Tamandua tetradactyla: one gene and its partner. The protein of the gene in region 1 purifies or fractionates together with the protein of each later gene. This does not show direct contact. Links are inferred from orthologs where the notes say so. Each region holds a gene or a part of one and is shown in the gene's direction. Other genes may lie near its edges.

Region 1 (7,618 bases):
AACTTCTGTGACAGATACTCAAAACTCAGGTTGATACATTTACCCAAAAGTCCTACCCGGTACTCTGCTCTTTGTGTCAACCTGATCTCACCAGTGCTCTTGAATTGATCTTGGTCTTGCCCTCTGCCAAGTCCCACACAACCCATCCCTACTGCCTGAATCTGTCTCTCGTCCAGACCCAGTTGCTCTCTGAGTTGCCAGATCCTCATGTCCAACTACCTGACATTTCTAAAGATATTCCAAATAAACTAATCTGCCTCTCTACCAAACCATCTACTCCTCCTTGCCCTTATCTTATCTTAGTGAATGGCCAGGAAAAAAGTCTCATGTGTCTTTTCTCTGCCAGGCTCTATTTAATCCACTGTCCAGAGGTATCTCAAAACAGAAACCTGCTCAAAGCCAACTCATGGCTCCTCACTGTCTCAGGACCAAGCGCAAACTTCTCAGCATCATTTGCGAGGAGGACATTTCTGAGTGGTCTCCTGCTCATCCCATCCCAGGCCTCCAGCTCCTTGGAGGCTTGGGGTTTCCTCCAAGGGCCTGGATGACTTCTCTCCTGCCTCCAGGTTATACATACCATATGCTTCCCCCTTCTCTTCACCTGGCTATGTTCTTCAGACTCTTTGTTCCTTGTTTGTACCCTAGTATCTCTAAGGAAATGAACAGTCTTGTTGCTCTTACTGTAAACCCACAATCTGCCCTCAATGGATGTTTCATGCTCACTGGATGAAGAAATAATGAAGAAATGAAACAAAAGTGCAATGAGGCAGAACTAGGACCATTATAAGGAAGAGTCTGCAGATGAGGACCAGAACAGTGACTTGCCTGTGGATTCAGGTACAATTGATAACCGGGCAGGAAGGAACTGGGCTGCGAGCATCTTGCATCTTCGAACACATGAGTATGTGTGTGGACATAATCATGTTTTAGTGTGACCTCAGTTCTTTTTAGTTGACCACTTGAAGCCATCGAAAAGCCTTTTTTTTTTTTGCGGGGGGAGCAGTATTACTATTAGGGAGAGATACCCAAACTGGATATCCCAACTGGTGTAGTTGTTGGTGCTATGGGGTTCATTTCTGGGAAGCATGCCCCTCCTTGAATGCTTGTCCAGCACCGACTATTCCAGTTTGTATATTCCAGTTCTTATAAGCATGGCAGACATTCAACCGAAAACAGAAGCAGTGAGCTGAGTACTGAGCTAAGACTTGGAACCTTGAATGATGTAGGGCACAAGCTTCCTCTTCATTTCCTTTGTTGTTACTATTGCTGTATGATTTTCTTATTTATCTGGGCTAGCAGTGAACAATTTAGGTTTTCTTGGCTCAGCAACAAGCAAATTAGGAGAAATGAGGAATATGGAGTAGAGGATAGGCTAAGAATAGGAGGAGAGAATTGCTTTAATAAAATTATCAGCACAAAATTTTATCTGCAGGGCTGAGAAACAAAACGTCATGTATACACAGCTCTTTCCACTCAAGGAGTTATGGACCTACTGTAGGATTCTAACATGAAACATGTTAAGTCAAAAGCATTAATACTGGTCATTATCCCCTCACTCTAAGACACACCTTGATGTTGTCTGTGCAACTTCCTTGATTGGGAATTCATTATTCATGATTTTTCTGTCCTATTACAAATTTTCTATCTGCTTTGGAAGATGAAGGCAAGTACTCTCTTTATAGGCAGTACTTGTGTATATTTTGGCTTTCTTTACTGGAGCCAGGTTACTTTCCAAACTGTCTGAGATTCAGAGGCTATATTTTGTTCTCTTTTTGTTTCCTTAGACACATTTTCAGTTTCCTTGTTATCTTTGGATATATATCGTCAAATCATCTAGTTCATTAGTGTTCACTCTATTTCCAACATAGAATGATGCAAAAAAACAGAGGAGACTTTTAAAAACTGTGTGGTCAGCCAGGGGATTTTAAGCATTGCATGCTCTTGAAGCTAAGGGACAAGCTCTACTGCAACTACTGATAGTGTTGTTTTGATGTCATCTTAGGCATGGAATAAATTTCTCAAGTATTACAAAGATAATTAGGCAAAGAAAAAACACCCAGTTGCACCCATTTATGTGCCTGTGCCAGGGTATTTAATCTTGTCACACAATTCGTCTGTCAGCAATTATTAAAGGTCAGAGGTGAAAATGACTGATTACAGCAATTAGTCCAGTCTTTTATGCAAAACAGTCCTTGCAGCATTTTCTGCATAGTAATTTTAAGAGAGAGAGAGAGAGAGAAAGAAAAGACTTCACAGTGCATAGTTGTGAGCAGGGAGATTTATCATTAAGCAGAGATAATAAGTATTGCAAACCACACATAGCAACTGGGGCTTAGCTTTTACGTGTCTTGGTTGTCAACAGCCTTTACTTCTTTAATGGATCTGAAGAACGATAATTAGAATGCACGGGTGAGAAGGAGGAGCATAGGAATAGCAAACATGTTTCTGGAATCACATCAACCCTGGTGTGGACAATGGGGACACCTGGCTCCTTGTTGCCTGCACCCATAACTCTCTGCACCGGCTGTGACACAAAGTGCCTAGTGACATATCCAAGAGCATCACAAGTCCGAGGCTGTATCCAGTGCTAAACAAAGGGCAAATTACACAATGAAGCATCGTTTATCTTGCAAAAGCTCTTGCGTCAGGGTCAAATGGGAGCACCAACCCCTGGCAAAAGCACCCAAGCTTCTTTCCATTGGCTTGATGAAAGGGATCCTTCCCAAAGGCGAGGCTGGAATGCCAGAGACCCCACACTCCCTCCTCACTAGTGCAGCATTCAGGGCCCTCAGCAGCTGCAAATATACATAATGAACTGTCCTTTCTTAGGCTGGCCCCTCCACCTGCAGCGCCATGCCTTCCTTATGCTGCTCTCCCAACAGAAATCATTGCCTCCACCCCCTCTTCATTTCCCTTAAAATTCAGGGCAGATGTTATTAATTCTCAAAAGTCTACAATGGATTCCTCCACTCCTTCCCTAATTTGGGCTGCACAAATTTAAGCAAGGACTCTCCTAGCACCTAGAGATGATTTTTTTTGCACATTTATCACTGCTGTATTTGGACTGTGAGTTTCCTGAGAGTGGAAGCCATCACTACAGAGCTTAGCAAAGCATTCCGTATGCAGGTGGCACACAATAAACCTCTGAATGAGTTCTGACAGTATGCTCCCTTGAGGTATAACATACAAGGAGCAAAGGGCACACACCTCAAACACATAGATCAACACATTTTTACACATGTATACACAACCCAGACCAGCACATACAACATTTTCCCAAAGAGCTCCCTGGAGACAAAGGGATTTGGTGGCTCTAGGAATGAGTCCCATGCATGCCAGGAAAGCAGGTTCCCAGAGTGGACTGGAGAGAATATAAGATATCATGATTCATCCTCGGGAAGAACTCTCAGGATTGGGGCGGGGTGTGTGGGGTGGGGTGGGGGTGGGGGAAGTGGGGCAGTAGTATTTCATTCTAGAGAAAAGCAAGAACTGGCATATTAGAGAATAGATCAATGCTGAAAGTTCAAATAGTGAAAACTGAGCATAATTAATAATTGGCCTTCCTTTTCCCCTGGGCTCATTCAGAAGCCCCAAATCCAAAGAGGCCGGGTACTGGTGAGGTCTCAGGAACCCTTTCACCACTGCCTCCTTATCCCAGCTCTGAAGCCTGCTTGTGACACCGAGACCCGACTGACACTCAAGTAACCGCAGTCGAGCCTCGCCAAGCCTGCGGGACGTGTAAAGCGGGACCCCTTGCTTCTCAGCCCCCAGTCCCTTGCACCTCGTACAAACCAACGGGCTTTTTTTGAACCAGCTCGCTATACCCACAAGGAAACAGGCGAGAGAGGAAACGCCTTCCCCCATCGCTGAGGGTTTGCGTTTCCTCCCTTGTAAAATGAGACGGTCAGACCCTCCCTTCACCAACCGCAAATGTTTTGTTTTGTTTTGGTTTGGTTTCCTGCTTTTTCAACCCAACACCTCTAACCACGTTATTCCCAGGGTGCCATAGACCCCTGCCTATGCCTATGCCTGTGCAGACTGTGTACCGCCAGGGCCCGGGGGTTCGGCGGGGGCTGAAATCCACCGCAGGGGGCCCGCGTAACGCCCTGCAAGGTGGCAGGGTGAGCGAGCGGTGGCCCCGACTGGGAAAAAAACAAAAAAAAAGGAGATGTCCAATTGATTTTGCCGGTAGCCCTGGCTCCATTTGAGAGAAGCAACCGCGCAGCGGCATCGCCACCAGTTCACTCCCCCCGCCCCACACCCCTCAACCCCGCAGCTGGGAGGAAAGGGGGGTCATTTCCTTGCGTCTCTGGCGAGGTGGCCGAGCGCCCCGGAACCCCGCCGGCCGCGGCCCCCAGCGCGCAGGGGATGCCAGCCAGCCCGCGGCCCCGCCCCTGCGCGAACTTGGCCGCACCCATCTCCCCCGGGCGGCGCCCCAGCCGCGGCCGGCGCTGACGTCACAAGGCACCCAGCGGCTCGCGGCCCGCGGTGCGCGCCCAGCGCCGGGACCCGCCGCCGCCCGCTCGGCGCCGACACCCAGGCGTGCCCCGCGCGTCCGCGTCCCCGCCCGGCCGCGAAGATGGCGAGCGTGGCGCCCCGGGAGCACGCCGAGGAAGGATGCCCGGCTCCCGCTGCCGAAGAGCAGGCGCAGCGGCCCCCGCCGCCCCCGGCTGCCTTCCAGGAGGAGCGGGAGGCGGCGGCCCCGCAGCAGGAGGAGGCGGCGGCGGGCGCGGGCCGGCAGGTGGAGGAGGCCGCGGGCCGGGTGGCCGCCGCCGCGACCTGGCTGCTCGGGGAGCCCGTGTTGTGGCTGGGCGGCCGCGCCGACGAGCTCCTGAGCTGGAAGAGGCCGCTGCGCAGCCTGCTCGCCTTCGTGGGTGCCAACCTGCTGTTTTGGTGAGAGCCTGGGCTGGGTGGGGGCTCCCGGGGTGTGGAGATGGGGGGCATTTGGGGCGCCCAGGGGTGGCAGAGGGCAGACCGGCCGGCCGGCGTGGGGTGTGCACGCTGCAGAGAGAGCGGTGTCAGCCCTGGCCCACCTTCTCGGCCACCTGTCTCGAGCAGAAAGACCCACACCTCAACTTTCCTCTCAACGCGTTTCCCCGTCTCCGGTCGCACCCCTGTCCACCCGCGCGTGCGTCCAGCCTCGGCGGCCAGGTGGTCCGCTGACTCCTGCGCACCTGTAGCCCCATAGGTGTGGCCACCGTGCTCGGAAACTTCAGTCTTTGCTTTCTAAAACTCTCAAGTCTTGACCTGGTCGGCTCAAGCATGCCAGAGCTAGTGGGCTTGAACTTGGCATTTGTCCCTGCACTCCAGCAGACATAGCTGGACCAACTTAGGTACACGTTCAAGACTCTGCCACCTTCATAAACCACCTGGGATGGGCGCTAAATGGTTTGTTTTCCCTTTCCCTGGAGGGTTTACTGTCTTAACTCCCTGGCAGGAAAACCAGGAGGCAAACAAACAGGTGGATTATGTACCTCACCCCATCCGCCCCGCCCCCCTCGGACTGCGCAGTGTAGAAAATAGCATGAAGGGCAGAGAGAAAACATAGGAATTATTCTCATAAAAGCCCGTGATCAACAGGTTTGGCTCTCCAAAAAGTGCCCTTCACCCAGACGGGCATGGGAAGCATCTGGCTCCTTCGCTGAAGGGCATATGCGCTGTCATCTGTTCTCAGTCTGAACTGAGGGCAGAGAAAAAGCCTTCTTTGTTTGCTCAAGGGTCCTGTAACGAACCTGACCCAGGCAGTGCAGAAGAGGCTGAACCCCGGTATACCTTGTCAGAGGATGTGGATTTCACCTTCCAGTTGGAAAATAAATCAACGCCTGGAACAGAACACACCTGCCATTTTTATTAGGTCAACTTGAAAAACAGGAAGATTTTTCTGGAGAGTCTGTGCTAGTCCTGGTTTTCTCTTTAAAATGAGCTGCATCTTGTCAGGGTCCCTGAATGTAAATGAACTTTTCTTTGTGTTTAGCCATCTGTGTTTTTAGAGTTTACACCCGATTTCTTCATATACCCAGTTATGAAGTTACATGAGTACTCAAAGGAGAGCAATACATGATATTAGGCTGGATTGGGCATTATTCTTAGGGATAGAAAGAACCTTATCATATTATCACAATCATTTTACTAATAAGGGCCGTGGTTTTAAATTTATTTTTCTTGATTTTAAATTTTATTTTTTAAAATAGCTAATACAGACTCAGTTCAAAAGTTTAAAGATACAAAAGGATACATATTTTGAAAATCTCTTTCTCACGCCTGTTCTTGGCTACGCAGTGTTCCAGTGTTACCCAGTCTCTTCTGTATCTTTCCAGGTAGTATTAACTATCCACGTAATATTAACGCATAGTTCAGCAATTACACAGTATTTGCCATAAATTCTGGAATACTACATGGGCTGCCCTCTTCATGGTTTTCTTGGCAATTGCTTCTTTGTTCTTTTTTCAACAGCATAGAATTTAGTTGTAAGGATGTCTCAAATTGTTAAACTGTCCCCAATGATGGGTTGTTTTCAAACTTTTGATATTTCAGTGTTATGGCTAATAACCTTATACACACTTCATTTTTGCATATATGAAAGTATTTCTGTAGAATAAAATCTTAGAAGTGAAATTAGAGGGTATATGTACTTATAATTTTGAAGGATATTAATTTATACTCCCACCTCCAATGGTTGTGACTGCTTATTTTCCTACATCTTTGCTGACAGCATTTGTCAGACTTTGATCTTGCAAATCTGATAGGTGAAACAGGGCATCCCAATGTGGTTTAAATGTGCATTTCTCTGTGAGTTTGAGCATCTTTTCTTATATTCAAAAGCCATTTTAATTATCTTTTCTCCACATTGTTTGTAAATATGTTTTTTAATTGAGCCATTGGTCTTTTTCTTACCAATTGTAAGATTGATTTGTAGGAGCTTTTTCATATTAAAGATTTAGCCTAATTTCTGTGATATGAGCTGCAAGTGTTCTTTCTATGGCCTATTAGTAATATCTACTGAAAATAGTGTTTTTTCATAAGACAATTGAAAGGCATATGTGTTATTTTTCAGGAGTGATGTTTGCCATGTACTGTATTTATAACTCCTATGGAGAATAATTCTGATGGAGAGGCAAACAATGGCCAAGTATTCAGCCTCCTTCTAGCTTTCTGCTTATCTGTTATTTCTTCTCCTGCAGTATCTACATTCCACGCATTTATTTTCCTTAACAGAATGATAACATCCTGCTCTTTGAATTCTGAAATACTTGTTACTGCTTTTGTACTTTGTGCTATAATCCATTGGAATTTCTGACCCATTTATTAACTTTGATTCAATTTTTGGAGTGTTTTTCATTCTCTTTTTGTTGCTTCCAGGGTTAGAACACTTTTCAAGGACGTTCAGTTTTCTTTAAATAGTATGTTTCTTAATCTTTGATCTTATATTATGTGACCCTCTAACATTATGTGTCCCAGGAATTCTGAAGCACTATATTTTCCATGAGAAAACAAAAGATTAATATTTTAAATATGCGGGACCCAAATCTTGTCTTCAGCACTAGTGATGCTGTTTTGACTTTATTTGGTATTATTCCATTTTTATGGAAATTAGCTTTGTAACATATTTTTTTTTGGA
Region 2 (7,054 bases), on another chromosome or scaffold:
AATTCAAAGAGGATGAAAGCTCATCAAGATTCAAATAATGGATGAGTAATCACAACCTTTTGAATGGCTACTATGCATCTGGTATATTACCTAATTTAATTCTGCAAACTCTGTTCCCCGAGCTTCAAGGAAGTAATATAACCTGCCCAGAGCTGAGTGACTGGGCTACGTTCTAAAGTCAATTTCCTCACCTCAAACACCAAACTGAAAAACCCTTTTATTTTTCAATTTAATTTTTTTCATTTTTTTATTAATTAAAAAATTAACAACAAACAAAACATTAAGATATCATTCCATTCTACAAATATAATCAATAATTCTTAATATCATCACATAGTTGCATATTCATCATTTCTTAGAACATTTGCATCAATTTAGAAAAAGAAATAAAAAGACAGAAAAAGAAATAAAATGGTAACAGAAAAAAAAGATTATACATACCATACCCCTTACCCCTCACTTTCATTTACCACTAGCATTTCAAACTAAATTTATTTTAACATTTGTTCCTTCTATTATTTATTTTTATTCCATATGTTCTACTCTTCTGCTGATATGCTAGATAAAAGGAACATCAGACACAAGGTTTTCACAATCACAGTCACATTGTGAAAGCTATATCATTGTTCAATCATCATCAAGAAACATGGCTACTGGAACCAGCTCTACATTTTCAGGCAGTTCCCTCCAGCCTCTCCACTACATCTTGAACAACAAGGTGGTATCTACTTAATGCGTAAGAATAACCTCCAGGATAACCTCTGGACTCTGCTTGGAATCTCTCAGCCATTGATACTTAGTCTCATTTCATTCTTCCCCCTTTTGGCCGAGAAGGTTCTCTCAATCCCTTGATGTTAATTCTCAGCTCATTCTAGGGTTTTTCTCAGTCAATTTAATTTTTATTCTTTTTAATCAAATGTGTGATTTTATAAAGTTAAGTAGCTCTATATGGCTTGTGAAGAAAAATAGCACTTTCTCACCACACACACATATTTTCTGCCCCCTACTTTTTAGCTGATTTATTTAATGGACACTTCTACAGATTCTATGCATATGTTTCAATTCTAGATTTTTATTTTCAGTTATTTGGGGCATAAACTATTGACATTCCATTGTTAAAAGTTGAGAATTCAGCCTTTTAATTTTTTTTTATCACCACCACCTCACCTTTGTTACCATCAAACTTCTGAGCATTTCTTGTTCCCCTTTTCCAGCTTCTAAATATAGTTACATCATAATTTTGATTATATTAGTATTATGGGAAGCAGGAAAGAGGGCACTAACAAGAGTTTGAAATAAGGCTTTATGGCTTAAAAGAATGGCTCTGCCCCATATTATCTTTCCAATCTTGATTTAGTCTGTGCCTCAATTTTCTCATCTGTAAAATGAGTACATCTATCTCATATTATTGAGGATTATGGGCGCTAACACATACGTATGTAAAGCATGTAGTATTTAATAAGTGGTAACCATTTTTATCTTGTTGATTACCTTGACCTATCTTCTGTTAAATCCTGTTTCATATACCTTGTGTCTTCTCCTTGTTTTTTTCCCTCATTTTGGACATGCTTACTGAAAATATGCACACAAGAAGTAAATTTTAGGAGAGCTTGCAAGGCTAAAAATGCATTATGCTACTCTCACACTTAAATGATAATATATCTTGGTATGAAATTCTAGGCTGGAATTCATTTTCCTTAGAATTCTGAAGGTATAGCAAGCTTTAACCCTGCTTTCTTTGCTCTATCTTGTCTTTATTTGGCCTTCTCAAATGTATTTCTGTGTTTCTGTTTCTTGTGTAACTAATTTTCTATTTGTGTCTGTCTGCCTGTTCATTGCATTATTTTATAACTTGAAATGTAAAAAAAAAGTAACAAAACTTTTTTTTTAAGAAAGCTCTACTGGAAATGCTTAAGAAATAAGTAGTTTTTAAACATATTTTATATAAATCAATACTCTTCTGAAGTAGAAAGAAAAAAACAGTAAATAAGGAGAAAAAATTCTCTGAACTGCAAAATTCAAAATCTTAGTTTTGTAATTACTATAAGCAAACCTGGCCATCTGAAAGAAACCGCCCTTGGAATTTCCCTAAGGCCCCAGAAAATTGCCAAAGGGCTGCCTCTAGGAAAAAAAGCAAAGACCTTTTCCAATTGTTCTGAAGCACCCCCTCCCCCCCCAAAAGGGAATATCTATGTAACCATTCAGTAGTCAAAATCATTCCTTAAATCCTAAATTTTTAATTACAGGGCTCCAATTCATTTTCCTTGTTTCTATGATAAAATTTAGTTTTGTTTGTTTTTTAAAATCAGAGACATTGGAACCCTGATAACAGAATATAGATGATAAAGCCATCAAAAGCAGTGAGTTCTCTGCCCCAAGCACTCAAATGACCAAGTCCTGAGTTTCAAAGAGAGGGTTTATTGCTAGGCAGGAAGCAGGAGATCAGATGGGCTGGGGGCCTAAAAACTTGGTCTCCCTGAGCTGCAGTAATTCTGATCGTTTTATAGTGTCAAATGATGAGCTGGTTTTAAGATAATGAGCACGTGACTGGAGATGATCTAGTTATAGAGCATGCACAGATTGCTTACATGCTTAGTCACAGAATTTATGTAAGAAAATGGCTGCCTTAATACGTTGATGGGTGTGATTTTTAGTATTCTGAGGTATAGGCTGCTTAGATTCAGCTCTATTTATCAAGACAGCCTTGGAATTGGGCGGGTTAGTTCCACTGATAAACATTAGGGGCTATCTTTAGTGATCATAAGGCTCTAAAGTTGAAACACAGGATAAGGGTGTATAAGGGAAGGTCAGTCACAAGGTTTTTAGTCATAAAATAAATCGTTATCAGAAATTAAGGCAATTGGATTACAGTTCAGAGATTTCAGGTATTTCCCTTTGTCTATTCTAATACACTAGCAAGTAAAAAGGAATATCTATATAATGATTCAGTAATCAGTCATGCTCTCACCTTAACTTCTTCCTTACACTGCCGTTGTAAATAACTTTAAAAATATAACTCATTAGACTCTTTCAGAGAAAAGCATACTTTCCTCACTCCTTATCTTTTGCAAGTACCACCGCCTTCCTCCACCCCCCCACCGGTGCGACGGATCCCAGGAATAGCCGCCTTCACTAGCAGGTGGAAAAGTCTTAGGCCTTTGGTTCTCCCTCTGGAGACGCCACTCGCATCTGCCTCACAGCCCAGTCTTCCACCATCCTTCCTCCTGTCTCATCCTATTCCCCTGAAACACAAATAACCCGTACTATCCTTTAAATGAATTTTCGCAGAAGGAAAAAAGAAATGTTCGAGAGCCACTAAACGAATAATTTAAATTGGCTGAAATTTTCTTTTCTTGAAGCCGGGCCCAATTCTGGGTTGTAAGAGAAAGTGCATCACTTTTGTATTGGGGCATGCGTGCAGCCCTTAGTAGTTATTGCCGGCATCACCTCTTCCCTGGATTTAGGTTGTACTTCATGCCCTTCATCTTACACATCTCAAATTCCTGAGTCACGCTCTGTTTCTGTCGCCACTCTAGGAGCAAGTTGTGGCATTCATCCAATCAAAACTGAAGCGAACCTGAGGGAGGAGAGGCCCTGGTGGGAGGAAGCCAACCTAGCACGCAGGCAGGTCCAATTAAATGGGCAAAGGGCAAAAGGCAAACCCGGGACACATCTGCACTGGCCAATGGGATGCCAGGCCCTCCCTCCCTCTTTTTCCTGACTCCAGCTCGCTGGAAAAGGCTGGATTTTAGCCCTTTCTATTCGTTTTGGGGCCCTACCAAGAGGCAGCGGGGGGAAGGGAAGAAGTCATCTTTAGAACACACTTTTCGTTTCGTCTTAAAACGACGGTCAGTATGAGAGTCACAATAAAACAATAAGAAAAACTGTCTTAGCTACGCTATGTAATCCAGATAGGAAAAATTTAGATGGAAAAAAATACACTAAAACAGACAATTCTTATGTCCACCCCTATTCCTGGAGGTCCGGGACGCTGGGGCGGGGTGAGAGGCGGGACTTCGTGACGTCGCAATACCGACGCGCCGCAGAGTTGTTTTGCGTCCCGTGCCCTTCGGGAAAGCCGCCGGGATTTCTGTTCTGGCGGTCCCCTAGCTCCAGGCGAAGGGAGCATAGATCCCTTCCGATCGCTCTGCCAAGTGTTGCGGCGGGAGCTGGCGTCTCCGAAGCGATCCTGATTTATAGTGAAATTTGGCACAGGGAAACGATTCTCGAGAGACGCGACCATCAGCCAGGGAGGCAGGGCCCGAGCGGGGATCTCAGAAACCCTGCGGTCCATCATGAAGTTCCAGTATAAGGAGGACCATCCCTTCGAGTATCGGAAAAAGGAAGGCGAAAAGATCCGGAAGAAATATCCGGACAGGGTCCCAGTGAGTGTCATGGGAGCGGGGGGGAGGGGACTGGGAAGCTCCCGGGGCGAGCGTGGCTGTGGTGAAGCGTCGCTGCCCCAGGCCGAGGAGGGAGACGCGAGGTCCCTGTAAATCACTAACCCTCGACGCCGTTCGCTGGTCTCGGAGCCAGTGGACACTCAGACTGCCGACCTTTTAAAACCTATATCCCCAGGGCCCGTTTCCATCTTTACAGCTGATCGCATCTTTGGAGCCGAGCCTACGTCTCGAGTGACTCAGCATTATTCAGATACGAAGGCCGACATGTGCACAAAATATGGTCCTGTATGCGAGAGTGATTAGGTTGGGGCCCTTGATTTCCAGCCTTTAGAAGCGCAGGGATATTGTTACGGGAGCAGCGAAGTTGGCTTTAACCTTCGTTTTATCCGGCTTGGGAAGGAAAGAATGGGAAGCCAGTGGATTCTTTCTTGTGTTTTATCATTAGGAAAGGGGGCGGTAAGGGGAGCGCACCACCAGGCGGACGTGGCGGGGAAAACAAGGTCACGTTCTCTGCGCAGCAGCCCTCTTGCTTCATTATTCTTGGCTCCAGGGGCTTGTGTGGGGAAAGGCCAGCCTTCCCTCCGCTACTTAATTCTGATCAGACTGTACCTGGACACAACAAAGCGGGACCGAAGCCTCTTTTTCTCTGTTGCGGAACCTGGCATGTGGAGTTAAAAGTAATGCGATCGGTGAGGAGGAAGAGAAATACTAAGGCATCCCTCAGCATCCGGGTGTTTTTCCCGTTTCCCCCCTCCCCCGCCCACTTGCCTGTTTTTTTTTTCTCGAATACAGGCTGCGCAGCCGGAATGGAAGGAGGAAGAAGAGTGGTAGATTTTGGAGATGGAGGAGCAGCGACCTTAAGGTTGTGCTCTTTACCTGCCACCTTCAGGCAGGGACAGTGGGAGACGTTTTACATGTAATGTATAAGTAAAGGAATTGCAATTATCTGATGTCCTTTCTTGACCTGCATGTTCTCCTTAAACCTAGTCTACAGTCCTAACCTCAATTTCATTGTTTTACAGTTACCAGAGGTGAGTTGGGCCTTAGCTAGCCCAACAGTAGAAACCCCTGGTAGTCCTTTTCCTATCAGGAAGAGGCGCCCTTAAGGCCTTTCCATTCCCAGAAATTGGGTGCTACTGAGTAATAACTCAGGAAAGAGTCCTTCACAAATCACTTTCCTGCTGTCTGGACCTTGGGGGGACTGTTTTAAAAGCTTCTCCTAATTCTAATCTCCGTCTTTGATAGAAGTATTAAAAAATGACAGTTCACCTTTATTGATGGCTTATCTCTTACCCGGCTGTCTTCTAAGTGCTCTCTATATTCAGTTAGTCCTCACAGTGGTATAACCACCATTCTACAGATCAATCAGAGAAATGAAGTAACTTAGGAAGCTTGCAAATTGCTGGTCTGTTACTGGTCAGGATTCCATTCCAATTGTTTCTCAATTTCTAATACAGTTCTGTTAACTAGAATTAAGTGCACACTGTGTGTCTCACATTGTACCTTCCAGAGCTCACAAGGTAGTATGGTGCTGGTAAAGTAAGCCGGTAAACAGAATGCCAATTTTTCAGGGGTCACTAAATACGAGGCTCTATGCCAATAGTTTTGCCTAAGTTACAAACTCTAAAATGTACCTTTTCCTAAAGCTAGTTAAAATCCCCCTATAATTTTTCAAAATTAAGCCCTCCCCATTTCAATCATCTACCCCTCATGTTTCATATGATCACCTGTTCTTATTCTGTAAATGTTTTACTTTGTGATAATAAATAAGTCACCATGGACCTGGCTCAGCTCTCTGGCTTCTTCTAGTTATGTTTTAACCGGTGCCAGACCTCTACCGCTTGTTACCGGTTCAGTGGATGGCCCTCTTTCCTGCAGTTGTGACGCAGGGAGAAGAGCTATATGCTTTCTTAATACTGTGATTTGGGTTGTAGTTCTGGCTTTACAGGAATTCCCTGTATTCTCAGTCAACACCCTAAATCTCACTGTGCTCAAGTGACCCTATTTATGGGAAAGTAGGGTTCCAGTAAATGATTTCTAAAGCCCTTCCCAGCTGGACCATAGGTGTTACTCGAGTAATCTCATTCCCTGGCTGCTCGCATAACCTGGATTTAGACCCGGTCACTATCTTTTTATAGCTACCATTGAGAAGAATAGGTGTGCTTATACCTTGGAAGGAAGGAGCTCATGGGATCTTGAAATTGCCTTTATAGCTACAGTGTATTGCAAACCTGTGACAACAGGAAACTAAGAGCCTGCAGAATGTGTCTTTTTTTAATTTGTTAACAACCCAATGGAATATTAGCTATCTTTAATAGATGAGGCTAAAGAAGCAAAGCTTCTAAGCCTGAGGGTCCACTGTAAGTGAGAAATAAGTTGGGATTCCTGCAAACCTAAACTCTTTTACTCTAAATCAAGGCCTTAATGATTTCCTGCCCTGCCTTTGCAGGCTGCTCTATTTTTTTGCCTTCCTTCCTTTGTGGTCACCTCTTATTGATAGGAGCTCAAGAGTTTGGGGGAGACACAATACCAGTCTCGCTGTCCCCCTTTGATTTTATTAACTCTGCTGTCTTATGTCCATCTCATTTGTTGGCCTTTCACTGATCTCTCCATGAAGCTGTTCCTACTTTTTCCTTTTAATTTTGGACTCA

The links. The genes of interacting proteins can lie anywhere in the genome.
Region 2: the proteins of RETREG1 (region 1) and GABARAPL1 purify together in Homo sapiens (affinity purification with western blotting; 3 studies listed by BioGRID and IntAct, with this or other methods). This does not show direct contact. The link is inferred for Tamandua tetradactyla from reciprocal best matches to the Homo sapiens genes RETREG1 and GABARAPL1.

The regions. Positions count from the first base shown.
Region 1 is NC_135335.1:65,782,270-65,789,887, reverse strand, and holds the start of RETREG1 (reticulophagy regulator 1), read left to right. Parts: upstream 1-4,534; 5' UTR 4,535-4,579; coding exon 4,580-4,893; intron 4,894-7,618. UniProt on the Homo sapiens protein: Endoplasmic reticulum (ER)-anchored autophagy regulator which mediates ER delivery into lysosomes through sequestration into autophagosomes.
Region 2 is NC_135333.1:72,652,989-72,660,042, forward strand, and holds the start of GABARAPL1 (gamma-aminobutyric acid receptor-associated protein-like 1), read left to right. Parts: upstream 1-4,029; 5' UTR 4,030-4,295; coding exon 4,296-4,385; intron 4,386-7,054. UniProt on the Homo sapiens protein: Ubiquitin-like modifier that increases cell-surface expression of kappa-type opioid receptor through facilitating anterograde intracellular trafficking of the receptor. Involved in formation of autophagosomal vacuoles.